7 linked regions of the Macaca fascicularis genome follow. The protein of the gene in region 1 purifies or fractionates together with the protein of each later gene. This does not show direct contact. Links are inferred from orthologs where the notes say so. Each region holds a gene or a part of one and is shown in the gene's direction. Other genes may lie near its edges.

The links.
Region 2: the proteins of GSK3A (region 1) and PRUNE1 purify together in Homo sapiens (affinity purification with mass spectrometry; 3 studies listed by BioGRID and IntAct, with this or other methods). This does not show direct contact. The link is inferred for Macaca fascicularis from reciprocal best matches to the Homo sapiens genes GSK3A and PRUNE1.
Region 3: the proteins of GSK3A (region 1) and FRAT1 purify together in Homo sapiens (affinity purification with mass spectrometry; 4 studies listed by BioGRID and IntAct, with this or other methods). This does not show direct contact. The link is inferred for Macaca fascicularis from reciprocal best matches to the Homo sapiens genes GSK3A and FRAT1.
Region 4: the proteins of GSK3A (region 1) and AXIN1 purify together in Homo sapiens (affinity purification with mass spectrometry; 12 studies listed by BioGRID and IntAct, with this or other methods). This does not show direct contact. The link is inferred for Macaca fascicularis from reciprocal best matches to the Homo sapiens genes GSK3A and AXIN1.
Region 5: the proteins of GSK3A (region 1) and GSKIP purify together in Homo sapiens (affinity purification with mass spectrometry; 7 studies listed by BioGRID and IntAct, with this or other methods). This does not show direct contact. The link is inferred for Macaca fascicularis from reciprocal best matches to the Homo sapiens genes GSK3A and GSKIP.
Region 6: the proteins of GSK3A (region 1) and AXIN2 purify together in Homo sapiens (affinity purification with mass spectrometry; 3 studies listed by BioGRID and IntAct, with this or other methods). This does not show direct contact. The link is inferred for Macaca fascicularis from reciprocal best matches to the Homo sapiens genes GSK3A and AXIN2.
Region 7: the proteins of GSK3A (region 1) and NBR1 purify together in Homo sapiens (affinity purification with western blotting; 3 studies listed by BioGRID and IntAct, with this or other methods). This does not show direct contact. The link is inferred for Macaca fascicularis from reciprocal best matches to the Homo sapiens genes GSK3A and NBR1.

The regions. Positions count from the first base shown.
Region 1 is NC_088393.1:49,296,515-49,300,525, reverse strand, and holds the start of GSK3A (glycogen synthase kinase-3 alpha), read left to right. Parts: upstream 1-1,211; 5' UTR 1,212-1,376; coding exon 1,377-1,659; intron 1,660-3,708; coding exon 3,709-3,896; intron 3,897-4,011. UniProt on the Homo sapiens protein: Constitutively active protein kinase that acts as a negative regulator in the hormonal control of glucose homeostasis, Wnt signaling and regulation of transcription factors and microtubules, by phosphorylating and inactivating glycogen synthase (GYS1 or GYS2), CTNNB1/beta-catenin, APC and AXIN1.
Region 2 is NC_088375.1:110,202,126-110,205,625, reverse strand, and holds part of PRUNE1 (exopolyphosphatase PRUNE1), read left to right. Parts: intron 1-507; coding exon 508-666; intron 667-3,500. UniProt on the Homo sapiens protein: Phosphodiesterase (PDE) that has higher activity toward cAMP than cGMP, as substrate. Plays a role in cell proliferation, migration and differentiation, and acts as a negative regulator of NME1. Plays a role in the regulation of neurogenesis.
Region 3 is NC_088383.1:106,269,572-106,273,539, forward strand, and holds FRAT1 (proto-oncogene FRAT1), read left to right. Parts: upstream 1-1,168; 5' UTR 1,169-1,368; coding exon 1,369-2,208; 3' UTR 2,209-3,758; downstream 3,759-3,968. UniProt on the Homo sapiens protein: Positively regulates the Wnt signaling pathway by stabilizing beta-catenin through the association with GSK-3. May play a role in tumor progression and collaborate with PIM1 and MYC in lymphomagenesis.
Region 4 is NC_088394.1:1,044,197-1,047,696, reverse strand, and holds part of AXIN1 (axin-1), read left to right. Parts: intron 1-1,093; coding exon 1,094-1,339; intron 1,340-3,384; coding exon 3,385-3,492; intron 3,493-3,500. UniProt on the Homo sapiens protein: Component of the beta-catenin destruction complex required for regulating CTNNB1 levels through phosphorylation and ubiquitination, and modulating Wnt-signaling.
Region 5 is NC_088381.1:164,445,629-164,449,128, forward strand, and holds part of GSKIP (GSK3-beta interaction protein), read left to right. Parts: intron 1-1,883; exon of another isoform or gene 1,884-2,074; intron 2,075-2,814; coding exon 2,815-2,976; 3' UTR 2,977-3,500. UniProt on the Homo sapiens protein: A-kinase anchoring protein for GSK3B and PKA that regulates or facilitates their kinase activity towards their targets.
Region 6 is NC_088390.1:72,001,513-72,005,012, reverse strand, and holds part of AXIN2 (axin-2), read left to right. Parts: 5' UTR 1-80; coding exon 81-895; intron 896-3,500. UniProt on the Homo sapiens protein: Inhibitor of the Wnt signaling pathway. Down-regulates beta-catenin. Probably facilitate the phosphorylation of beta-catenin and APC by GSK3B.
Region 7 is NC_088390.1:64,240,016-64,243,515, forward strand, and holds part of NBR1 (next to BRCA1 gene 1 protein), read left to right. Parts: coding exon 1-51; intron 52-519; coding exon 520-595; intron 596-2,258; coding exon 2,259-2,369; intron 2,370-2,621; coding exon 2,622-2,786; intron 2,787-3,500. UniProt on the Homo sapiens protein: Ubiquitin-binding autophagy adapter that participates in different processes including host defense or intracellular homeostasis.

The DNA.
Region 1 (4,011 bases):
GGGTTTCGCCATGTTGGCCAGGCTGGTCTCGAACTCCTGACCCCAGGTGATCCGCCCGCCTCGGCCTCCAAAAGTGGTGGGATCACAGGCGTGAGCCACCGGCACCCAGCCTGAGCCACCGCGCCCGGCCCAGAAATTCTATTTCCGTCTTTTTAATGCTCCATTCAGCTTCCTGGTGCGAACCACATTGCTAGGAAAAGCTAGACTGTATCCGAAGACTAGTTAGTGTTCGGAGAAACCGCCGGGAACTTTGTTTCCCGAATTCTTTGCAGAGTTGCGGTTAGAGAGGGGACATTTTTTCTTTCTTGATCTATGGTCACCTGGAACTTAAAGGTGCTTGGCTCCATTTTCCAGCAGTCCTTGATCGACCTCGCCTCTTTCTTTAAGAAGAACCTGGGGGCGAGGAAGGAGGGGCTGAAACACTTTTAAGTCTCTCCAGGGAACTACTGCAGTCTCTAACCTTTCGCTCCACGCCCCCGATGGTGGCCATTGGACTCCGCTTCCCGACAAGCCTCCGCAAACTGGCCTCACAAAGGGTCAGGTCTGGACTATTCCCCAGCAGGCTTGGAGCTCATGGGCGATCCCGCCCCCTCAGTCAATGGGGAGGATGCCTTGAACTCCATTTCCCAGAACACACCAGGGCTCGCTGTGGCAACTGCACTGAAGCCTTGGTGTTGACTACACTTCCCGGCAGGGACTGCGGCCTAGCGTACCTGGGAAGAGAAGCGCGAAATTTACTCCATTTCCTCTCCCATCTCCGGAATTGCAGTATCCACTTGGGACTTAAGAAACCACCTGGGACTCCATTTCCCGGCGTGCTTTAAGAATCGCTTTACACCTGCAATGCGGTGAGGGCGTGGCGATGACTCCATTTCCCGGCTTGCTTCACGGCCCGAGATCCGCAGGTTCACGCGCGCCGACTCAATTTCCCAGAGCGCACCGGGCTCTGGGACGCACACACAGCCAATAAACTGAGTGAGTGGACTCTGTTTCCCAGCGTGCATCAGGCTCTCTGCTTCCCGAAATACTTCAGGGCTCCCCGTCGTACCGTCGGCAGACAGATTACCCTGGACTCCATTTCCCGACGTATAGCGCGACCCGTCATTCCCGCGGTCTACTCTGAGGCTTTTGTGGACTTCATTTCCCGGCGTGCCACGGGGCTCTCTGTGCGGGCCGAGGGCGGCGACGGCGGCGCGGACGACAGCCGGACTGCATCTCCCGGCGTGCCCCGCGGCGGGCGCTGGGCCGGAGCCGGAGCCCAAACCCGAGCGGCGCGGCCTGGAAGAGGCCAGAGCCCGGGGGAGGCGGCGGCAGCGGCGGCGGCTGGGGCAGCCCGGGGAGCCCGAGCCCCGCGGCCTGGGCCTGTGCTCGGCGCCATGAGCGGCGGCGGGCCTTCGGGAGGCGGCCCTGGGGGCTCGGGCAGGGCGCGGACCAGCTCGTTCGCGGAGCCAGGCGGCGGAGGCGGAGGCGGCGGCGGCGGCCCCGGAGGCTCGGCCTCCGGCCCAGGCGGCACCGGCGGCGGAAAGGCATCTGTCGGGGCCATGGGTGGGGGCGTCGGGGCCTCGAGCTCCGGGGGTGGACCCGGCGGCAGCGGCGGCGGAGGCAGCGGAGGCCCCGGCGCAGGCACTAGCTTCCCGCCGCCCGGGGTGAAGCTGGGCCGTGAGTACTAGCGGCGCCCGTGTAGGGTGGTGATCAGGGTTCCCAAAGCTCCTCAGACATCCATCAGGTTCTTTCATATGCTTAGGTAGGAGCCAGAGGTCACTATGCCTCCCCAAATCGGGGATCTGAGCCCTCTTCCTCCCAGGAAAAGGGGTCTTGGGGTTACCATCTCTTGGAGATCAGAATTACTCTTGGATCAGAATTACTAACACTCAAAGAAACAGGGGTTACAAGTCCCTGTTCTTTCATTATTGAGATCTTGGGTCCTTGAGCCTTAAGAACAGGTATCTGACGTTGCTACTCATTATAATATTGGATCAGAGGTCACAGTCGCTTGCAAATGGGGATTTAGGGTTATTGTCTCCTAAGAGAACAAGAATAAGACCAATCGCGAAAAAGAGGGATCTGCATTCGCTGTCCTTCAGAAGATGAGGATTTGGAGTGAATATCACTTAGAAGCAGGGCTTTGAGGTTACTGTGTTGTGTCCCCAAAGAATAAGGCCAGGCTTGCCAAACCTGGTACTCAGATCACCTTCCCTATTAAAACCAAGACCTGGCATCATTACCCACCCTAAATATTGTTGAGCTGTACCCCCAATGGTGAGAATTAATAGTTACTGCTTCTTAAAGACATTGGGAGTCAGCATATCCTTCAAATCAAGTCCATAGTCCATGTTTTAAAATACATGGCTTGGTGTGTCTCCTTTAACAAAAATGGAATGGAGCAGGGTAGGTCACAGTTTCCTATAAAATATGGATCTAAGGTTATACTTGTTTAATAATTGTTCTAAGGTATGGTGTCATTGGCTCTGAAAAAAATAGTGATGTAGGGTTATCTCCCTCTGAAAGAACATGTCACTGGCCCCTCAAAATGGATTTGGTGGCCGGGCGCGGTGGCTCACGCCTGTAATCCCAGCACTTTGGGAGGCTGAGGCAGGCGGATCACCTGAGGTTCTGTTTGAGACCAGCCTGGACAACTGGTGGAACCCTGTCTTTACTAAAAATACAAAAAATTAGCTGGGCGTGGTGGCGGGCGCCTGTAATCCCAGCTACTCGGGAGGCTGAGGCAGGAGAATCGCTTGAACCCAGCAGGCGGAGGTTGCAGTGAGGCGAGATCGTGCCACTGCACTCCAGCTGGGCAACGAGAGCGAAACTGTGTCTCAAAAAAAAGAAAAGAAAAAAAAAAAGAAAAAATGGATTTGGTTCATCAGTTACTCAAAGGGGTCACTATCCTTTAAGAATGGCACCAAGGTTTGCTACCATTTGAATAATGGGAATTGGAAATTATAGCTTTCCTTCAAAGGACTGAGGCTGGAATAGCCCCTTGATAATAAAGGTCAGGTTCATCATTCTCATAATTTGGTGCTTGTCCATTAGGGACCACCCACATACGGGGAGGAGTCTGGGTCTCTGGACCACTCAGATGAAGAGGTCAGGTCAGTGTTTTTTTCTAACCTCAAAGTACCAAAAAGTGAGGGTCAGGGCACTGGTACATACAGCAGGAGAGGACATTCATTTCTGTCACCAAGAACCAGTGAAGTTACCAGCTCTACAGGGGAGGACTTAGAGGTCAGTATCCTCTAGGCTGTGAGATAGGTTAGTGTTTTCCTGAAGTAGGAGTACCTGAGGGTTACTGCTCCCTTAAGTGGAAGAGGCCAGGTCAAGCTTTCTCCAAAGAGGAGGGGCCAGAGGGCAGTAGATCCAGAGTAGATGGAGTCAACATCTGATGTCTCCCAGTACCAAGACGACCAGTGATCTATTGCTTCCTAGAAGTAGAAATTTGGGGTTGCCAGCCCTTGAAGCAGAGAGATTTAGGTATCAATATCCTCCCATGTGGAGGGGGGGCAGGATTTAAGGTTCCCAGAAAGGAAGAGGGTTTGAAAAGTCACTGGGAAGGTTCCAGCATCCACCTTTCCTCAAAGAGGAGGAGGGAACAAAGAGGTCCCCAACGAGCTTCCTGCAGAGATTTCCCTTCCTCCTACAGCCCCAGGATGGGGTGATGCGCAGACAGGATGGGTCAGTGGATCGTGTATCCCCTTTGTTCCCCAGGTGACAGCGGGAAGGTGACCACAGTGGTAGCCACTCTAGGCCAAGGTCCAGAGCGCTCCCAAGAGGTGGCTTACACAGACATCAAAGTGATTGGCAATGGCTCATTTGGGGTCGTGTACCAGGCACGGCTGGCAGAGACCAGGGAACTGGTCGCCATCAAGAAGGTTCTCCAGGACAAGAGGTTCAAGGTAGCTTGGGCGGGATGGGGACAGGGAGGTTTGGGGACTTGGTGTGACTGGTGGGAGAACCCCAGCCAGAGAGCTGGAGGCTTAGGTTTCAGAGCCATGGACCAGAAGAGAAAGT
Region 2 (3,500 bases), on another chromosome or scaffold:
TCCAGCCTGGGCAACAAGAGCAAAACTCCGTCTCAAAAAAAAAAAAAAAATACCCACAAGGCAAAGACTTTCCTTGTTTGATTGCAAGAACCGGAGAGCCTTGAACACGCTAGGCACATTACATACATTATCAGCATTTTTTTTGTTTTTGTTTGTTTGTTTGAGACAGAGTTTCGCTCTTGCTGCCCAGGCTGGAGGGCAATGGTGCGATCTGGAATCACTGCAACCTCCGCCTCTCGAATTCAAGCGATTCTCCTGCCTCAGCCTCCCAAGTAGCTGGGATTACATGCATGCGCCACCACGCACGGCTAATTTTGTATTTTTAGCAGAGATGGGATTTCTCCATGTTGGTCAGACTGGTCTCAAACTCCTGACCTCAGGTGATCCGCCCCCCTTGGCCTCCCAAAGTGCGGGGATTACGGGCATGAGTGACCGTGCCTAGCCCAAGGATGTTTTATTGATGATGATGAGAAAGTCCTTCATCCCTCTCCGTTTCTTCCCTTTCAGGCCTTTCTGGAGAGGTCTAACCTCCTTGCAGATCTCCATGCTTTCTGCCAGGCTCACAGCTACGATGTCCTGGTCGCCATGACTATCTTTTTCAACACTCACAATGAGCCAGTGCGGCAGTTGGCTATTTTCTGTCCCCATGTGGCACTCCGAACAACGGTGAGTCTGTGTCCCTTCTCCAACCTAAGAGCCTTACAGAGTCCACCTGTATGTACCTCTGTGCTCTACAGCTGTCCTATAAGGACCTCTCTTAGGTTCTTATATTAACATACTTACACGAGGTCCCTTGACCTGTTTCTGGACCTGTTTCCTCCCCTTTCTGCTTTTTCCCATTCTCTCTGTATATGAATATCCTTTTTTTTTCATTCTTTTTTTTTTTTTAGTGAACATCCTTAATCATAGCATTGTTGCGAAAAGGTGAATTCCAAAAAGAACTAAAGATTCAATTCATACTTTGAAAGAACTTGAAAGAAATCTAGTTAGAAGGAAATGTTACAAATCTGTAGTTAAAATTCCCTTCTTGAGCTAGGGACCGTGGCACATGCCTGTAGTCCCAGCAACTCGGGAGGCTGATGCGGAAGGATTGCTTGAGCTGGAAAGTTTGAGTCCAGCCTGGGTAAAGATAGCAAGACCTCATCTCTATTGGGGGAAAAAAAAACAAAACAAAACTCTATTCTTGGTTTAATCATTAATTCCTCACCCCTGGAATCATGCTGTTGCCTTGAAAATTAGAAATATGAGAGACCTTTTCTGCTACTTACTATGCAGGGATTAATTATTCTGTATCATGCAAACTCTGTAATGAAGTGATCTAGATCCAGATTTGTTTTCTTTCCTGATCTTCCTTTTGGCTATCTTTCCTACTTCCTCTCCTTTCTGTTCCTCTGCTGGTTACTGATTAGCCTAGGGAAGAATTTAAAAGTGGACTTAAGGCTGGGCATGGTGGCTCATGCCTATAATCCCAGCACTTTGGGAGGCTGAGGCGAGCAGATCATGAGATCAAGAGATTGAGACCATCCTGGCCAACATGGTGAAACCTCATCTCTTCTAAAAAATACAAAATTAGCTGGGAGTGGTGGTACGTGCCTATAGTCCCAGCTACTCAGGAGGCCGAGGCAGGAGAATCTCTTGAACCTAGGAGGCAGAGGTTGCAGTGAGCCGAGATCACGCCACTGCACTCCATCCTGCCAACAGAGAGAGACTCTGTCTCAAAAAAAAAAAAAAAAAAAAAGGTGGGCTTAAGGCAATTCAGGGATTCTGAGGGTGGCCTAGGCTCTGTGAGGACTGCTAAAGACAGAATACAGCCAGATAATCCTTTGCTCTCATAGAAGGTATGTCTGCCCTTTCCCACCTCCCTTTGCCTTTGCCTTTGCCTTCTCCCCAGGAAGCAAATCTGATTTCATTCAGTGTAAGGTGGTTTGTCATTATGAAAAGAACTACAGTTTTGTTTGTTTGTTTTTTGAGTCAGAGTCTCACTCTGTTGCCCAGGCTTGAGTACAGTGGTGTGATCTTGGCTCACTGCAACTGCCACCTCCCAGGTTCAGGCAGTTCTCCCACCTCAGCCTGCAGCTGGGACTACAGGCGCCCGCTACCATGCCCGACTAATTTTTGTATTTTTAGTAGAGACGGGGTTTCACCATGTTAGCCAGGCTGGTCTCGAACTCCTGACCTCAAGTGATCCGCCCGCCTTGGCCTTCCAAAGTGCTGGAATTACAAGCGTGAGCCACTGCACCTGGCCAAGAACTGCAGTTTTTAAAGTCAGGTAGATGCGTTTTTCTGTTCTAGATTTGCCTCTTACTCTTTGAGCTAAGGCAAGTCTTACTCTTTGACTTCTGCATCTGGAAATGGCATAATAGTACCTACTGCTAATTCTACTATGATCATTAAACATAATATCATGTGTAAAGCACACTTCTGGAGCAGAGTAAGCACTTTGTAAATAGTGGCTCTTACTAATCCTTTCATGAAGAAAAGGGTGCTTTGGCCATTAGAAGTACCTCTTCCACATTCCTGAATCTTCTCCCCTCTGTGCTGCTCATTCGAAGCTATGTGGATTTCTTTTTTTTTTTTTTTTTTTTTGAAACAGAGTCTCGCTGTGTCTCCCAGACTGGAGAACAGTGGTGCGATCTCGGCTCACTGCAAGCTCCGCCTCCCGGGTTCACGCCATTCTTCTGCCTCGGCCTCCTGAGTAGCTGGGACTACAGGCACCCGCCACCACGCCCTACTAATTTTTTGTAGTTTTAGTAGAGACAGGGTTTCACCGTGTTAGCCAGGATGGTCTCGATCTCCTGACCTCGTGATCCACCCGCCTCAGCCTCTGAAAGTGCTGGGATTACAGGCTTGAGCCACCGCGCCCGGCCAGCTGTGTGGATTTCTAATGACTCTACCATTGTCCAGGCTGCCCCTATGCTTAGAAACAGGAGTCCTTTTCTCTCTCTTTTTTTTTTTTTTTTGAGATGTCTTGCTTTGTTGCCCAGGCTGGAGTGGTGCAATGGCATGATCTCAGCTTACTGCAACCTCTGCCTCCCTGGTTCAGGCAATCCTCCCAGCTTCCTAAGTAGCTGGGGCTCCAGGCACACCATCATGGCCAGCTAATTTTTTTTGTATTTTTTGTAGGGACAGAGTCTCGCTACATTGCTCAGGCTGGTCTCGAACTCCTGGACTCAAGTGATCCACCAGCCTCAGCTTCCCAAAGTTCTGGAACTGCAGGTGTGGGCCACTATGCCCAGCCAGGAGTCCTTTTCTCACAGTCTACTCTACCATCTCCTCTCTTTCTCCTGTGTTAGGGGTAGTATAATATATTGATTTAGAACACTGGCTTTGGTGACAGCTCTGGGCTTAGTGTCAGTTTCGCTTCATGCAAATTATGACCTTAGGCAAGTTACCTGATCATCGAATTCTCAGTTTCCCTGCATGTAAGTGAGGGTAATAGTGATACCAATCTTATTTTGTTCAATTCATTCTTCCTCCATCCCTCTTCTGGCCTCTAGATA
Region 3 (3,968 bases), on another chromosome or scaffold:
GTGGATCACCTGAGGTCGGGAGTTTGGGACCAGCCTGACCAACATGGAGAAACCTCATTTCTACTAAAAATACAAAATTAGCCGGGCATGGTGATACATGCCGGTAATCCAGCTACTCAGGAGGCTGAGGCAGGAGACTTGCTTGAACCCAGGAGGTGGAGGTTGTGGCAACAAGAGCGAAACTCTGTCTCAAAAAAAAAAAAAAAAAACAAAAAACAAAAAACAAAAAAAAAACGACTAGCAACTAGCAACCTAGGCCGGGCACAGTGGCTCACCTCTGTAATCCCAGCACTTTGGGAGGCTGAGGCAGGTGGATCACCTGAGGTCAGGAGTTCGTGACCAGCCTGGCCAACATGGTGAAACCCCGTCTCTACTAAAAATACAAAAATTAGCCGGGCGTGGTGGTGGGTGCCTGTAATTCCAGCTACTGGGGAGGCTGAGGCAGGAGATTTGCTTGAACCCAGGAGGCGGAGGTTGTAGTGAGTGGAGATGAAACCACTGCACTCCAGCCTGGGCGACAGAGCGAGACTCCCTCTCAAAAACAAACAAACAAACAAAAAAGACTAGCAACCTCCTCCTCTCCAGCAATGCCAACCCCAGTCCAGGCCCCCATCCGCCCAGGATCTCGATCAAGAAACATTAATCCGTGGCCTTTCTTTGCCATTTCCAACTCTGCCACCTCCATCGCACGACAAGGTCCCCTTCTTCCTTCCCATTCCCGTCAGTTTCCCTAATCTCCGTACAAATCCCTAGCCTGACTCCCTTTCCTTTCCATCCTCACCAGACACCCGCATGCTGGACCTCAAAAGCGCAAACGCTAAAACCCGGTTGAGTTGACGCACGGAGAGAAGGGGTGTGTGGGTCGGTGTGTGTGTGTTACTGTGTGTGTGTGCTTGTGTGTGGAAGAAACCAACAAGGTCCACGCTGGTGTCCATTTCTGGAAATGCCAATCGCGCCCGACTGCGGGAGCCAGGATCAGGTCCCCAGGGCGCCCTTGCAGACAGCACCCTGAGCGAAGGAGCTCAGAAGGCAGTCCGGCTTCACCCAGACCCCCAGTCCCGCAGAAGCCCCGTCCCCCAGCGGCACAGCACCCCCTCCCCGGCGCGGTGGTAGGGCCCAGCGCGACGTCACCCATTGTTTACAAATCAACCCGAGCCGGCAGGATTCCGGCTCCCGCGGCTGCAGGCGCGCGGCTGGAGTGACTGGCGGGCTCCGGCTTCCGCGTCCGCCACGGCCCCTGCCCCGGCCCCGGCCACGGCCCCGGCATCGTCTTCAGCTCCGCGCCCGCTCCGCCGCGGCCCACCGCACCCGCCGGCAGTCGAGCCCCCAGCGACGCCCGCACAGCTCCGGGTGCCCGGACAGGGGGCCATGCCTTGCCGGAGGGAGGAGGAAGAGGAAGCTGGCGAGGAGGCGGAGGGGGAGGAAGAGGAGGAGGACAGCTTCCTCCTGCTGCAGCAGTCGGTGGCGCTGGGCAGCTCGGGCGAGGTGGACCGGCTGGTGGCCCAGATCGGCGAGACGCTGCAGCTGGACGCGGCGCAGGACAGCCCGGCCTCGCCGTGCGCGCCCCCGGGGGCGCCGCTGCGGGCCCCGGGACCCCTGGCTGCGGCGGTGCCGGCGGACAAGGCCAGGCCCCCGGCGGTGCCGCTGCTGCTGCCTCCCGCGTCGGCTGAGACTGTGGGCCCGGCGCCCCCTGGGGTCCTGCGCTGCGCCCTGGGGGACCGCGGCCGCGTGCGGGGCCGCGCTGCGCCCTACTGCGTGGCGGAGCTCGCCACAGGCCCCAGCGCGCTGTCCCCACTGCCCCCTCAGGCCGACTTCGATGGTCCTCCGGGTGCTGGCAAGCAGGGCGTCCCGCAGCCGCTGTCGGGTCCGTGCCGGCGAGGATGGCTCCGGGGCGCCGCCGCCTCCCGCCGCCTGCAGCAGCGACGCGGGTCCCAACCAGAAACCCGCACAGGCGACGACGACCCGCACCGGCTCCTGCAGCAGCTAGTGCTCTCTGGAAACCTCATCAAGGAGGCCGTGCGAAGGCTTCATTCGCGACGGCTGCAGTTACGTGCAAAGCTTCCCCAACGCCCGCTCCTGGGACCTCTGTCGGCCCCGGTGCATGAACCCCCTTCACCTCGCAGCCCTCGCGCGGCCTGCAGTGACCCTGGCGCCTCCGGGAGGGCGCAGCTCAGAACTGGCGACGGCGTTCTTGTCCCTGGCAGCTAACACGCCCGGGGTGCCCACAGCGCCGGCCTCAGACTAGAGGGCAACGGGTTCCCCTGAGGGCTGCAATTCTGCTCAGGCTGGTGGAGAACTCTGGCTTTTGGAAGTGGGAGAAAAAAGCTAAAGACGAGGAACAGAAAAATCGCGAATGTTTCGCGGGTAACTGGGGTTGAGGGCCAAAATATTTGAAATGCAGAACTCGGCCCTATTTAAGGCGGATTTTACAGAGCGCACCCCAAGCTTACAAGTTAGTAGGATTCCTTATTTGGAGTGACCCGACCCAGCCGCGGAGCGTGCAGTTCCGCGCAGCCTCTCAGTGCCCTCCAGCCCCGCGACCATGTGGCCACAATCCACGCTTCTCCGGATCGCGGCGCGCCGGAACTACTGAGGATGATGCCAGTTACTTGCTTTACCTTTTCAGGGCTGGCTCCTGATCCACTTTGGGGGAGGGGAACATGAGTAGATAATTTCAGGGTGCACCCCAATCTGCCAGACTTGAATATTTTCAACACTTAAAAAAACCATCTTGTGTCTTTGGAGGTGCTGCTTAATATCAAACACGCGGTGCCATGAAGGGACCCTTTGAGGGTTGAATAGGAGTTAACCCCTGCGCTCCCTTTGCAACTGTCTGCCTTTCTCAGAGTGGTGGGGGAAAGGCTGTACGACACGGGTGGGGACAGGAGGTGGGGGCGGGGGGTATTGAATGGTGATGGAAGGGTAGAGAGGCGCGGAGTGAACCCCACGCGCTCTCTAAAGTGTATTTTCACAGCCGGCCTGCCTCTCCTCGGGTTCAAGGTCACTGTTTCCTGGGCACGCACTGGGTTGCGGGACAGAGTAGCCGGATTCTGCCCGTGCTCGGAGAAGAGCGCAGTGTTTTTTGCAAGTGCTGGAGTCTCCTGAGGACACGCGCGCCGCCGCCACCGCGGGTGTGGGAAAGCGCGGACGTGCTGGGCGTCTGCTTCCCTAGGCGACCACCGCCCCTGGCCGCGCTCCGGGCTTTCACGGAAACTCCCGAGACGGAGCCCCGGGTTCCTCCTCTCCCACTTGGCTCTGCTGTCCTACTCAAGCGGGTGGCTCTGGGATCCTGGGGGCCTGGGTTGGGGGCTAGGGAGACGCCATGTGATGGGCACTCCAGGGACACACAGCCTAGCACAGCAGCTTATAATGGGCTCTCTGGGGCCATTTGCAATAACAGCTGCAATTCCCTGGATAGCGGAGTTGATTTCCTCCCTCTGCCCCTCCCCCAGCCATGCCAGCTGGCCTTTGTAAGTGCAGGAAACCGAGTAGAAAATGTGACCCTCCAAATGGAGAAGCTGCAGGCTTTGCCATTGTGAACCATGGTGAAGTGCTTGGAACATACTGTTCACTCACTCTAAAGGCGCTGAGACTGTGCTGTTGTTCTCGTTTTTATAGTCAATGGCTTGTTCATCATCCAGATGTGGCTACTGACATATCTACACTTCGCACCGGAGTGTCTGGAATTGTGGCTATCCTGATTATAGGATTTTAACTTAACTGAAATGCCTGCTTTGAATAAATGTGTTGGGTTTTTTGTTTGGTTTTATTTTATACTTGCCATCGGTGAAAAAGATGTACAGAACACATTTCTCTGATCTCCATAAACATGAAAACACTTGAAATCCCTGTCAGCCTGGCTTGCGGATGGTAATTAGAGCGCCTTTGTGTCTGAGCAGCTCACTAGCTAGACAAGGTCTCCGCAGCTGGGTGTGTATTGGAGCTGGCATGAAATTAAATGAAAGTGA
Region 4 (3,500 bases), on another chromosome or scaffold:
TTGTTTGTTTTGTTTTTTTTGTTTTTTTTTGAGATGGAGTCTCACTCTTTCCTAGGCTGGAGTGCAGTGGTGCAATCTCAGCTCACTGCAACCTCTGCCTCCCAGGTTCAAGCAGTTCTCCTGCCTCAGCCTCTCGAGTAACTGGAATTACTGGTATCCACCACCACACCTGGCTAATTTTCTGTATTTTTTGAGTAGAGTCATCGTTTCGCCATGTTGGCTAGGCTCTTCTTGAAGTCCTGACCTTAGGCGATCCGCCCACCTTGGCCTCCCAGAGGATTGGGATTACAGGCAAATCAGGGATGGTTTTTTGTTGTCTTTTTTTTTCTGAGACCGAGCCTCACTCTGTCACCTAGGCCGGAGTGCAGTGGCGTGATCCTGGCTCACTGTAACCTCCAGTTCCCCAGTTCGAGCCATTCTCTGGCCTTAGCCTCCAGAGTAGCAGAGATTACAGGCGCCCGGCTACTTTTGTATATTTAGTAGGGACGGGGTTTCACCATGTTAGGCTGATCTCAAACTCCCGTCCTCTGGTGATCGCCCACCTCAGCCTCCCAAACTGCTGGGATTATAGGCGTGAGGCATTGTGCCCGGCCGGGATGTTTTTATTGTGTGGTCTGAGGAGGACATCCATGTGTCTTGGTGGCCAGGCCCCAGTAGCCCATCCTTTTTTTTTTTTTTTTTTTTTTTTTTTTTTTTTTTTTGAGACACAGTCTCGCTCTGTCGCCCAGGCTGGAGTGCAGTGGCGCAATCTCGGCTCACTGCAAGCTCCGCCTCCTGGGTTCACGCCATTCTCCTGCCTCAGCCTCCTGAGTAGCTAGGACTACAGGCGCCCGCCACCGCGCCCGGCTAATTTTTTGTATTTTTAGTAGAGACGGGGTTTCACTGTGGTCTCGATCTCCTGGCCTTGTGATCCGCCCGCCTCGGCCTCCCAAAGTGCTGGGATTACAGGCTTGAGCCACCGCGCCCGGCCTCCCCAGTAGCCCATCCTATCCTACCCCTGAAGGAGGCTACCCTTGTGAGATGGGTGTAGCCCCACCAGGCCACCTGGCCAGGGTGTTGGCCACAGCCACAGCTTGTTCTCTTGTTCCCCAAGGTCCTCAGGGACAAGGAAGCCACAGCCCCATGAGAACTCCAGACCCTTGTCCCTTGAGCGCCCCGGGGCCGTGCACCCCTGGGCCGGCCCTCAGCTCCGGACCTCCGTGCAGCCCTCCCACCTCTTCATCCAAGACCCCACGATGCCACCCCACCCAGCTCCCAACCCCCTAACCCAGCTGGAGGAGGCGCGCCGACGTCTGGAGGAGGAAGAAAAGAGAGCCAGCCGGGCACCCTCCAAACAGAGGTACGGCTGCATCGTGGGGTGGGGTGGGTCTTGGGAGTTACCACAGCACCATTCCTAGGGCTGAAGCTCCCCAAGGCCTGAGGTCTTCAGGGGAAAAACGGCCCTCTGGTGTCGCCCAGCCATACTGGGCCCTTCCTTCCACTGAGAACCACTGAGGAGCCATGTGGCAGGCGACCCTGCGGTGGACGGAGGGCTGGGGCCGGAGCTTTCACACACCCAAGGCCTCTGTGCTCACTGCTCTTGTGGAGGGGGGTCCTTCCTGAACCTGAGCCGCGTCTGCAGGGCCCCAGTGTGTGGGGAACACTGGTCCCAGCCAGAGGCTGCTGACTGCTGGGCAGCCTGGGCTTTGAGACAGGGGTCCTGGGGCATGGCGGCTGCCTCTTGACAATCGCACCCCACGAGCCCTGAGTGGCTTTACGCGGTTGGAAAACTACGTGGGTCTGCAACCTGTGCAGATGTAGAGTTGTCATCCTGGACGTCCAGCCCCCAGCCCCTCCTCGCTAAGCCTTCCTTGGCCTTCTGGGCCCCAGTAGCCAGACCCTGTTCTCTCCCCAGAGCAGGCTGGCTTCTCCCTGGGCTGCAGCGAGGCCGCCCCTTTGTTCCGGCAGCGTTTTTGCTGCAGGCCAGAACCTGCCTTCTCCACTTTCAGCTTTTTGCTCTTGAGGCCAGTTTTCTCGGCCATCCTGGGTCATTGGAATTCCTCACACATCAGGGTCTCTGTGAGGGTCCTGGGAGCCTGTAGCTCATGCAGGCCCTGGGGCTGTGGTCACAGAGGCCATGGTTGCCTTCAGAGGTCACCAGCTCCTCCTGTCCACCTTGGGTCACCTGGGGCCTGGGGTCCAGGCCCACCTCCTGGGCCTCCAGCTTTGGGGCTGTGCCACTCCAGGGAGGCTGGGGCCAGGGGCCCTATTCTGCCAAACCAGCATCAGGGTTCAGACCCTTCCCAGCCGAAAGCCTGTGTGGTCTCAAGTCATTAAAGTTTCAGCCTAATGACAGCTCTGGGGCCAGAGAGGGTCACAGTTACCTCAAACCCAAAGGGTGATCACTTTATGGCCAAACGTCTGTGACCCTGTGATCTTGTTCAGCCAACAAGGAGCCAGAGCCCCGTGCCATGCAGGAGCCTGGTGTGTGGTGCTCGGAGCTGGGGCGTGTGACCGGGCTGGCAGATGAGCCGGGGGTGGGCATCATGTGCAGCAGGTTCAAGGCCCTGGGCCTGTGTGCTCTCCTGCTGGGGCTTCCTGAGCCCCCTTGTTGGGCTGAGCAGGGGTCTCTCGAGTTGCATCTGCCCTTTCCCCGGGCACCCACAGGCCCTACATGATGGCAGGGGATGCCCGCTGAGCCGTGGAACCATTGCCGCCGTTCTGAGACACGACCTTCCTGCCCCTGTTTGGATGCTGTGGGGAAACCCAGAGTTGCTGGGTTTGTCTGTCCAGGGGACACATGTTTTTGCGAGAAGCTGTGGAGACTTGGAGTGAAGGCCCAGAGGCAGGTCGGGTGCTGGGCCCTGTCGGGCTGTAGAGTAGAAACTACCATCAGGGTCGCCCAGTGCACCCCGGTGGAGGTGTCCACGTGAGAGGAGCTGCCGTGCTGCCCCAGGATGGCCTCAGTTGTGGCGCCGGGGGGCTCTCAGCCTCCCTGAGGTGCAGACAGAGTTGCCACACCCCAGAGCCAGTGTCCACGCCATTGGTGGGGAATTCATGCCAGAGACCCAAGGACAGGCTCTCGGGAGGAGATGGCGTCCCACCAGAGGGGATGAGGTGGTAGGATCCCAGGACCCCAGATCAGAAGCTCCCCAAAGTGCGGTCTGGGGAACAGGGGGGTTGGTACCCAGATCGTGAGTGTGGAGTGTGCTGCAGTGTCTGGCACCACTGAGGCCTAGGAGGGGGTTTGGTGTCTTGTCCACCCTGCAAACTGGAGCCTTCACGGGGCAGGTTGTACAGCCCCTTCATGCTCCGTCTGTCCCTGCGCGGCAGCATTGGTCGAGGCTCCTTCCCCAGGGCTGGTGGCCGCCGGCGCAGCCACCATTGACGCGGGTTGTTCCCTAGGTATGTGCAGGAGGTTATGCGGCGGGGACGCGCCTGCGTCAGGCCAGCGTGCGCGCCAGTGCTGCGCGTGGTACCAGCCGTGTCGGACATGGAGCTCTCCGAGACAGAGTACGTGC
Region 5 (3,500 bases), on another chromosome or scaffold:
ATCATGACCCCCAAAACTAATTTATTTCTCATCTATAGCTGAATGTGTTCACCAAAATTATATATACATTCTCTGCATTGAATGGGTTTTGCAGTTATTGTGTTGAAAAGATCTTCGTCAACCCCTTGGAAATGTCTCTTCTGTTAAAATAACATACTTGACAACACTGTTTTCCAACTCTTAGATCAGAAATAAATCAGAGCAGAACATTCCACCCCCAGATTTCCAAGAGTGTCCCATTAACCCTTTATTATGAGTATCTCTTTATTATGAGAGCTCTTCTAGGCAGATTAACCTTTCCATTCTTTAAACCAAAATCATGAGTTTAGAATAGTAGAAAACATCACCTGAGAGCAACTTTTAATTAAAAAAGAAAAAACTATAGGACAGGCCTGTGGACTCTTGCCTGTAATCCTAGCACTTAGGGAGGCCAAGCTGGTAGGATCATTTTAGGCCGGGAGTTCGAGACCAGCCTGGGTAACATAGCAAGACCCTGTTTCTACAATATATATTTTGTTAATTAGCCCAACATGGCAGCACTTTCCTGTAATCCAGCTACTTGGGAGGCTTAGGAGGGGGACCATGTGTCTGAAGTTGCAGTGAGCTAGAATTGGGCCACTGTACTCCAGCCTGGGTACACACACCCTGTTTAAAAAAAAAAAAAAAAAAACTGTTATAAAAACCTTTGAGCTACTGAACAACGGGATAGACATTAGAAAATCTAAAATCTAGTTTTAACCTTACTAATCAATGAATCTTCAGTCTTAACAAATGTCATACATTTCTGTGTTTCTATATTTGTTCAAAGTAATTGTACATTATCATAAGGTGGTGAGCTAGGCCTACCTAAGCAAGTAAGAATGTCACATGATATTATCTTAAGTACATAAACATCTCTTTACTTCACTGGATTCAGTTTGCTGAAGATGAGTCGTGTATACTGTATATTCCTTGATGGAGCAAATTGCAAGGCCAGCATCTGTACTACCCTCAATTTCCTCACAGCTGCCAGAAAGATAGCTGCTTAACTTTAAGCATAGTACCTGAATTAACTAATTTTTGTGCACTTCTTTTCACATCCTTAAATTTGTACTAAAAGCTCAGAGTGTTTAGAGGCGAACCCTAAATCAGAAGTAGAGATAAATGACAGAATTAGTAAGCTAATTCTGTCTTGTGTTGGTTAATTCTAAGTTGGCGCTGGGGAGATACAAGGAGTTCTGATCAGAGAGTCAGCAGTCTTAAATGTGAATTTAAATGATCTTAGGTGAATCTGTCTACCCCTGAGAGTTCCTACTTCTTAATCTATAACTTGGAGATTTACAAAAACTTAAAATGATTTGGGGAATGATTATATGATGGTGTGATACAGAAAAATCTGAACCATTTGTAAAACCTGACATGTAGTAGGTGCTCAAGTATTTGTTTTTCAGTCTGATTCAGTTAACATTTATTGAGCAACTATCCTGTGTCAGCAATTGAAAATCAAACCATGAATAAGACATGATCCCTGTCCACCAGGAAGATCACAGTCTAACAGTGATAAGAGGAAGAAGGCAAACTGAACTGTACTCCACTGTAGAGAGTACAGTAATCGAGCATGGATCTGAAGAGGTGTGATTCATTTTCCTTAGGCGTCTGCCTCTGCTTTTCATTAAAAAAAAAAAAAAAAAAAAAAAACTCAGCTTCTATTTCTAACATAAACTTTCACCTTCTATGGCTTAAGTAGATGTCATAAAAATTTAGGATTTATATAGGGAATGTACAAACTTAAGTCAGCAAAAACTAAATTAATTTTGCCCTATATTGTGATGGTGAACCATGATATACCTTATAATCTTGTCAGAAAGAAAAGTTGTAGCTGTGGTCACAGGAAAAAAAAAAAAATCACCTCTCAGCCTTTTGACTTAGATCAGTTGGAGTATCTCTTCTTATCAGTTTAATATCTGTTATATCCTCTATGCAAGGACAATATATTAAATGGATTTTTGGAGCAGGGAGATAGAATAGGCTTTTGCTCCATTCACTTCACTCATCGACCTGGTATTGCAATACTTCCAGAAATAGTGTACCCCTACCAAGAAAAAAGAAAACACAGTAACATTCCCTTTTATCTCACAGAGTTGAGCATTTATTCCCTGTCAGATAAGAAATATATTAGGTGAAAGTGGCCTTTCAGATTACTAATAATAAAGCTAAGCAGTTATTAAAATGAATAATTAAATTATTAAACCAATTAATAAAACAGTTATTAAAATTAACAACTAATTATTAAAACTAAATTGTTAGGAATAATTTCTATAATTCTATTTATAAAAGGAGTAAAAAATGATAAAAATATGAACCAATGATATATTACCTATTACAAAAATATGAACTAACATATTACCTATTACAGTACTTAATATAGTGGACCCTCAGTATATGTGGAATTAAATAGGGTAAATAATAGATGCATGTTTTAGAATATGAAAATGGTTTTTGTGTAGCTTTTCAAATTCTGCATTTCCTTGAGATTCTAAGTAAAACCTTTTAAATTTTAAAGAAAATTCTATAGGGAGCATTTTAGTGGTGGTGTTTCTGTGTTACACATTGTAAGTTGCTGAAGTATTAAAGGTTGTTTTTAAAATGTGCATACTCTGACATTGATTGAGAAATAGTGTCACTCAATAATTATCCATGTATCTGGTGGTCTAGTGGCTAGGAAAAAAAAATAATTTTTTTTTTTGAAAGGATAGTTACTCACGTAAACACTTGGATTTTGTTTTCTGTACCAGCATGAAAACTAATGAATTCACTGTTGCATTTCTCTTGTAGGTGGTAGGCTATGCTTTTGACCAGGTGGATGATCATTTACAGACTCCCTACCACGAAACAGTCTACTCACTGTTGGATACACTCAGCCCCGCCTACCGGGAAGCCTTTGGAAACGCACTCCTTCAAAGACTGGAAGCTTTGAAAAGGGATGGACAGTCATGACTACACTTTTTCCTTTCAGAGGGGCTGGTGCTGGTACAGAATGTTGATATAAAGCTTGAAATTCTTGCATATGGTCATAGAAAATGCATCTTTGGTTTTGTGTTTTTATCACTTGCTTTCAACTTAGGCTTTTGGCTCAGAAGATTATTGAATAATGATTTGTCTTAGTTTCTGTTTCAGTAAGGGAATTCTGAGGCCGTTGCTATGATACCATCATTAAGACATTCACATGTCTTCATATAATATCTCTTCATTTCAAATCCTAATCAGTATTTCATACTCTTATTACAGGGCTTTGATGCTGCTAGCACTGTCTTTTACATAGGAAATTCTAGATTTGCACAGTAATAGAGGAATTAGAATTACCTAACTATACACTTTGATTCAACCTGCTAAATCAGGGGTTCACTACTAGCTTGGAGAAACTTTGTAGTAATTAATTGCTACTAGCCTTATTGGAAACAAATTATCAACTAGTTTCCCCTGCACAAATTTTGAAATTCACTGCTTCACTTAATCTATTT
Region 6 (3,500 bases), on another chromosome or scaffold:
AGAGACCACGCCGATTGCTGAGAGGAACTGGAAGAGGAAGAAAAAAAATTCCCAAACTCTGTGGGAAGAGCTCCCTCACCATGAGTAGCGCTATGTTGGTGACTCGCCTCCCGGACCCCAGCAGCAGCTTCCGTGAGGATGCCCCGCGGCCCCCAGTGCCAGGGGAAGAAGGGGAGACCCCACCGTGTCAGCTAGGGGTGGGCAAGGGCCAGGTCACCAAACCTGTGCCTGTCTCTTCCAACACCAGGCGGAACGAAGACGGGTTGGGGGAGCCGGAGGGGCGGGCATCTCCGGATTCCCCTCTGACCCGGTGGACCAAGTCCTTACACTCCTTGTTGGGCGATCAAGACGGTGCTTACCTGTTCCGGACTTTCCTGGAGAGGGAGAAATGCGTGGATACCTTAGACTTCTGGTTTGCCTGCAATGGCTTCAGGCAGATGAACCTGAAGGATGCCAAAACTTTACGAGTAGCCAAAGCGATCTACAAAAGGTACATTGAGAACAACAGCATTGTCTCCAAGCAGCTGAAGCCTGCCACCAAGACCTACATAAGAGATGGCATCAAGAAGCAGCAGATTGATTCCATCATGTTTGACCAGGCGCAGACCGAGATCCAGTCGGTGATGGAGGAAAATGCCTACCAGATGTTTTTGACTTCTGATATATACCTCGAATATGTGAGGAGTGGGGGAGAAAACACAGCTTACATGAGTAATGGGGGACTCGGGAGCCTAAAGGTCGTGTGTGGCTATCTCCCCACCTTGAATGAAGAAGAGGAGTGGACTTGTGCCGACTTCAAGTGCAAACTTTCGCCAACTGTGGTTGGCTTGTCCAGCAAAACTCTGAGGGCGACGGCGAGTGTGAGGTCCACGGAAACTGTTGACAGTGGATACAGGTGAGACTTGGACGAGGGTGGGTGGGCTGATGCTGTGGACTTTGCAGATGTTTTAGGTATGGTGGGTGGATGGATGGGTGTGCTGCAGAGACTGACAGGTCTGTTGAGAGTTAGGACTGCTGGCCATGAACTCTTTTTGATCTTGCTTTTTGTTGTTTAAAGAGGGGGAAAGTGATGAACATACGGCTAAATACCTGCAGTCTTCCAGTGCTGACATCAAACAGTGGCAAGGAGTGTTCACTAATGTGGGTTACTTATTATCCCGGGCCAGTGTCTCAGAAGCGGCTGAGAGAGAGAGAGAGAGAGGACAGCAGCTTTTGATGCCTCTGAGTCACCAGATCCACTAAGCGCTGGTTTTGGAAGGGGTCACTTCACCACTAATCAGTAGGGGGTGGAATTAATGTGGCTAGGGAGGCAGCTGGGTTGTGGTGGAGGCACAGGAAATAATGTGTGCACCCATTGAGGGGTAAGTGGGATTTTTTTTTTTTTTTGAACTTTTCTGTTAAGATAAGAGCCAGCAATTGGCTTAACTGAGTTTGTGGTTCTCTTTGTAGAACTAGATATTTACCCAGCAAGAAAGGCCTCTAACTAGGGAAGGTCCTGTGACTTTCCCGAATGAAGGACCCTTAGCTTTAGAGCCTGCTGGCATATTAATCCAGGTTTTAAATGCTCATGAGTCCGAGGGTCAGACTTCAGTTGATTATTTTGTTAGTGCTGATGGAGAAGAGATCTTGGCCCGGGAGTTCTGGGGCCCTGGAGTACTTTCTCTTTGAGGCTTCAAAGACAAATAGTTCTTTGCAGAATGGCCAAGTCTTAAGATTCTTGACCTTTGGAGGCAACTTCAGACCTCTTGTTAGAATGAGTTTTTCTGTTTTCTCCCCTCCTCCCGACTTCCAGATATCCGAAAAGAGAATGAGCCTCTCTATTCTGGGGTGTGGTTCATGACAGGCAGGGAATGGGGCTGCACTTGACTGCTCTCTGAATGGTGTGTCTTGCTGCCTGTGTGGATTTCTCTGTGTGTTAGGGGCCCAGGATGCGATCTGATAGCTGCCTCTGGATTTCCCTTTCTCTGTAGGGTGTGGTCTCTAGTGCTCAGCAGCAGGAAGAGAGGTGGGCACCAGATGGTTGATCCTGAGCCTCTCTGGGGGCCAGGTCTGAGCCTAGCGGGCCATGATTTTAGGGGTGGCGGAGAGAGTTGACTGTTGGCGAGGAGGGGAAGGGCTTGTTCTCCAACCACCAGGGGGCGCGCTTGTGGCTTGGGAACCAGTTTTACTCAGACATCTGGTCTACACCTAAGTGGAACCAGGTTGACTTTTGCAAGGAAGCACAGGTTCCAGGGAGGTGTTTCAGCGTCTTTATGCTTATGGAGTCAGGTTGTCTGGGAGGAAGACCCTGGGTCTGGCCTCTGCAGTGGGTCAGTCGCTGGGCACCTGCTATGCCTGCCGGCACCATTATGAAAACATTTGGGTAAGCCTCTGGCGCTGGCCTCCTTGCCCTCTAGTCTGGCAGCCAGAGCTGAGACTACGTAAGGGCCGTGGTAAAGGCTCCTTCTCCAGGGGCCTCCTGACTGGGGCTTCTGTGTCTCCCACTGTCGGGACCGGAGTGTCACCTTTGTAAATAGCAGTAGGTGGTTTTGGATGTTCTCCCCAGGCAGGGCTCTGCTGTGAACCCTCCCCTTTGTGGGTGGGCAATTGAGACCCAGCCTGGGCTTGCCTCATCTGGGATATTACCAGGATTCGACTCCTGAAGCTTTTGAGATCCAGAAGGCAGGGGCAGAAGCTCCTGTTTTCCAGGGCTGCCTTCTTGGCTGTGAACTGTGGACATCATTGGTAAAGAGGTGACAGCTTGTCATTGACCTGAGAGTTTCCATACTAGATTCATGTGTGCTTCCTCCCACTGTTGGGTTCAGATGAAGCATCTTCATGGACTCTCTGAAGCTCATGTGTCTTAACTGGGCATATTTAAAGAGAACTTAAGACATAGCCAGATGATCTAACATCATTTTAACGTGCAAGACATTCGAGTGTGTGCACAGTATATCAAAAGGTCTGCTGAGTTATTCCAAGGCTTGCGTTCCAGCCCGGTCCACCACTTACTACCTGGGTGTTGAAGCCTTTCTGAACCACATGTAATAGGTGGGCACCATTCCTTCTGTCTGTGTCATAGGATTGTTATTAGGACCAAAATAATAAACATGAAAGCCTTTTGTAGAGACAAACGTTTTGAACAGCCGCAAAGTGTTATAATTAGTATAATTAGTAATGATAATGTCAAAAGGGCAACCAGGTTGGGATGTCACTTTTATTTTATTTTTTTTATTTTATTTTTTATTTTTTTGAGACGGAGTCTCATGCTGTTGCCCAGGCTGGAGTGCAGTGGCGCGATCTCGGCTCACTGCAAGCTCCGCCTCCCGGGTTCCCGCCATTCTCCTGCCTCAGCCTCCTGAGTAGCTGGGACTACAGGCGCCCGCCACCGCGCTCGGCTAATTTTTTGTATTTTTAGTAGAGACGGGGTTTCACTGTGGTCTCGATCTCCTGACCTTGTGATCCGCCCGCCTCGGCCTCCCAAAGTGCTGGGATTACAGGCTTGAGCCACCGCGCCCGGC
Region 7 (3,500 bases), on another chromosome or scaffold:
GCCAGTGAGAGGGAGCTCTACATCCCATCTGTGGATCTTCTGACTGCCCAGGTGGAAGATTCAGCACTTTGTAGGGCAAGGGACAGAGGGAGAGAGCACAGGAGAGAAGGTGGTAGAGCCATAGGCGGTAATCAGGAAATCAGAGATATGCCCACTTTGATCTAGTCCGGTATATTTAATGGGAAGGAGATCACCCATGGAAGCAAATTTGTAAACTAGATGTTTCCTCTTTGAATTGGGAACTCAATCCTGTACTTCCCCACAAACTCCCTTTAGTGGCCTCTTCACTTTGGCCTAGCTGATTCTCCTTTTTACCTGCTGCATTTTCTCTTTCCTGCCATTTGGTTATTTCAACACCTAATTCCTATTTAACTCTTCCTTTTTTCACTTGTCTGGAGACAGGCATGAATTTGAACAGAGTTGAATACAAGACGATGTGGAAATGGTCTACAGATCCCATCAAGACGTGGCTCCAGCATGCACTCCAAACAGCCTAACATTGTCTGTCTTTTTTTATAGGACCTGCTGTCGTTTGAGCTGTTGGATATAAACATTGTTCAAGAGTTGGAGAGAGTGCCCCATAACACCCCTGTGGGTAAGAATGTCACTCATTTCATCTTGTTCATCTTACTAATAGGCACACAATACCATAGCCTAGACGCTGGTAGTGTTTTATTCTGAGGAAATGGCAAGGAATTCTCCCTCAGTAGGACAGTAAAGCAGCAATCATGGATCCGTTTTCTTTCTTTCCTGACCTTTCTCAAAAGCAACAATATGCTGGGCATGGTGGCTGGTGTCTATAATCCCAGCTCTTTGGGAGGCCAAGGCGGGAGGATCACTTGAGGCCAGGGTTTGAGACCAGCCTGGGCAACATGGTGAAACCCCCATCTCTACAAAAATTACTTTAAAAAATTGGCCGGGCGCGGTGGCTCATGCCTGTAATCCCAGCACTTTGGGAGGCCGAGGCGGGCGGATCACGAGGTCAGGAGATCGAGACCATCCTGGCTAACACGGTGAAACCCCGTCTCTACTAAAAATGCAAAAAATGGCCGGGCGCGGTGGCTCAAGCCTGTAATCCCAGCACTTTGGGAGGCCGAGACGGGTGGATCACGAGGTCAGGAGATCGAGACCATCCTGGCAAACACGGTGAAACCCCGTCTCTACTAAAAAAAATACAAAAAACTAGCCGGGTGAGTTGGCGGGTGCCTGTAATCCCAGTTACTTGGGAGGCTGAGGCAGGAGAATGGTGTAAACCCGGGAGGCGGAGCTTGCAGTGAGCTGAGATCCGGCCACTGCACTCCAGCCCGGGCAACAGCGCGAGACTCCGTCTCAAAAAAAAAAAAAAAAAAAAATGCAAAAAATTAGCCGGGCGAGGCGGCGGGCGCCTGTAGTCCCAGCTACTCGGGAGGCTGAGGCAGGAGAATGGCGTGAACCCGGGAGGCGGAGCTTGCAGTGAGCCGAGATCGCGCCATTGCACTCCAGCCTGGGCGACTAAGCGAGACTCTGTCTCAAAAAAAAAAAAAAAAAAAAAAAAAAAAAAAAAAAAAAAAAAAAAAATTAGTTGGGCATAGCCAGGCATGGTGGCTCACGCCTATAATCCCAGCACTTTGGGAGGCCAAGGCGGGTGGATCACAAGGTCAGAAGTTCAAGACCAGCCTGGCCAAGATAGTGAAACCCCATCTCTACTAAAAATACAAAAATTAGCCGGGCATGGTGGCAGGTGCCTGTAATCCCAGCTACTCGGGAGGCTGAGGCAGAGAGTTGCGTGAACCCAGGAGGCAGAGGTTGCAGTGAGCTGAGATCTTGCCACTGCATTCTAGCCTGGGTGACAGAGCAAGACTCCATTTCAAAAAAAAAAAAAAAAAAGAAGCAATGATACAAGTTTGTGCAAGGCTTTTCCACTGTAAAGGAATCCTCTTCTCTTTTTTTCTCTAGACATTTTGTCCTTTTGTTCCTTTATATTCTTCTCTTTTTTTCTCTAGACATTTTGTCCTTTTGTTCCTTTATATTCATGGTTTTGTATCTTGGCCATAGCTTTCCAGGCTAAATAACTGTGATTCTTTCTGCATTGATTGATCTGAGATATTTTGCATACTTATTGGTCTGGAGAAATTTTCTGTAAGAGACCTCAAAGCATATCTTGGTTTATTTTAGTTCTGCAGGAGGCAAGAAGCCTGCTAAGTGCTACTTCTGGACACTGACTATTGATGATATGATGCTTTCTCTTGATTGATGGTTCTCCTCTCTTCATTCTCCAGATATGACTCCCTGCATGTCTCCTCTGCCACATGACAGTCCTTTAATAGAGAAGCCAGGCTTGGGGCAGATAGAGGAAGAGAGTGAAGGGACAGGATTTAAAGCACTTCCTGGTAAGGGATTAAATATTTGTAAAGTATTTACATCCTTCCTTTCCATACCATACTCTATTTTACAGCTATCCCCTACTGACCTTACTTAGCATGTAAATGGGCTTTCTTTCTATAGCATCTCATGTTTTGCCTCACCTTCACGTGGCACAGATAGCAGCTATTCCTTGGTTTAGTTTTAGCATGGGTAATGACTGGTGAACATTCCTCAGCACTTTAAACACTAAGTGCAGACAAGGTTCATATGTCTTTCAGATTCTACAGTGTCAGTAAAGAGAAAGACTCAGAACATTGCTTCTGTGGAGGAAGCAGAAGAAGACCTGAGTGGGACCCAGTTTGTGTGTGAGACAGTAATCCGATCCCTTACCTTGGATGCTGCCCCAGACCACAACCCTCCTTGCAGACAGAAAACCTTGCAGAGTGAGTGTCCTTGCATTTCCCCCACCTAGCAGGGTGACACCTGAATCGTGACTGCCAGACTTGATGAGTTAGATGTGCTGTTCTTCACTGAGAGTGAAAGGAGAGTGAATCTTTGTTAGAAATTCTGATCTTGTTTGTGTCTTTAGACTCTACATATGCTACCTGACTGTTCTAATTAGAGCATCAGGAGCAAAGAAGCCACCATACTCCTTTTTCCGTCTTCTCGGGCAGAATTACAGCTGCACTCCACAGTGGAATAGCAGCCAGTTGTGCTGCCTGGATTCTGCAGTAAGGAATCTTCCTGTAATTTGACAGAGCTCCTTAGCAAAGACCCCTCTGGGTAGCTGAGTTGTCTGCTTTCTCCAAGGGCAGCAGTCCCAGAAACAGTGGATAGAAACAGGAGTACCAAACAAAGTTTCTCAAGGTTAAATTCTGCTGTAATAAATGCCTTTATAGGCCGGGCACAGTGGCTCACGCTTGTAATCCCAGCACTTTTAGGAGGCTGAGGTGGGTGGATCACCTGAGGTCGGGAGTTCGAGACCAGCCTGACCAACATGGAGAAACCCCATCTCTACTAAAAATACAAAAAATTAGCCGGGCGTGGTGGCTACATGCCAGGGATTACATGCCTGTAATCCCAGGTACTCGGGAGGCTGAGGCAGGAGAATCACTTTAACCCGGGAGGCAAAGGCTGTGGTTAGCTGAGATTGCGCA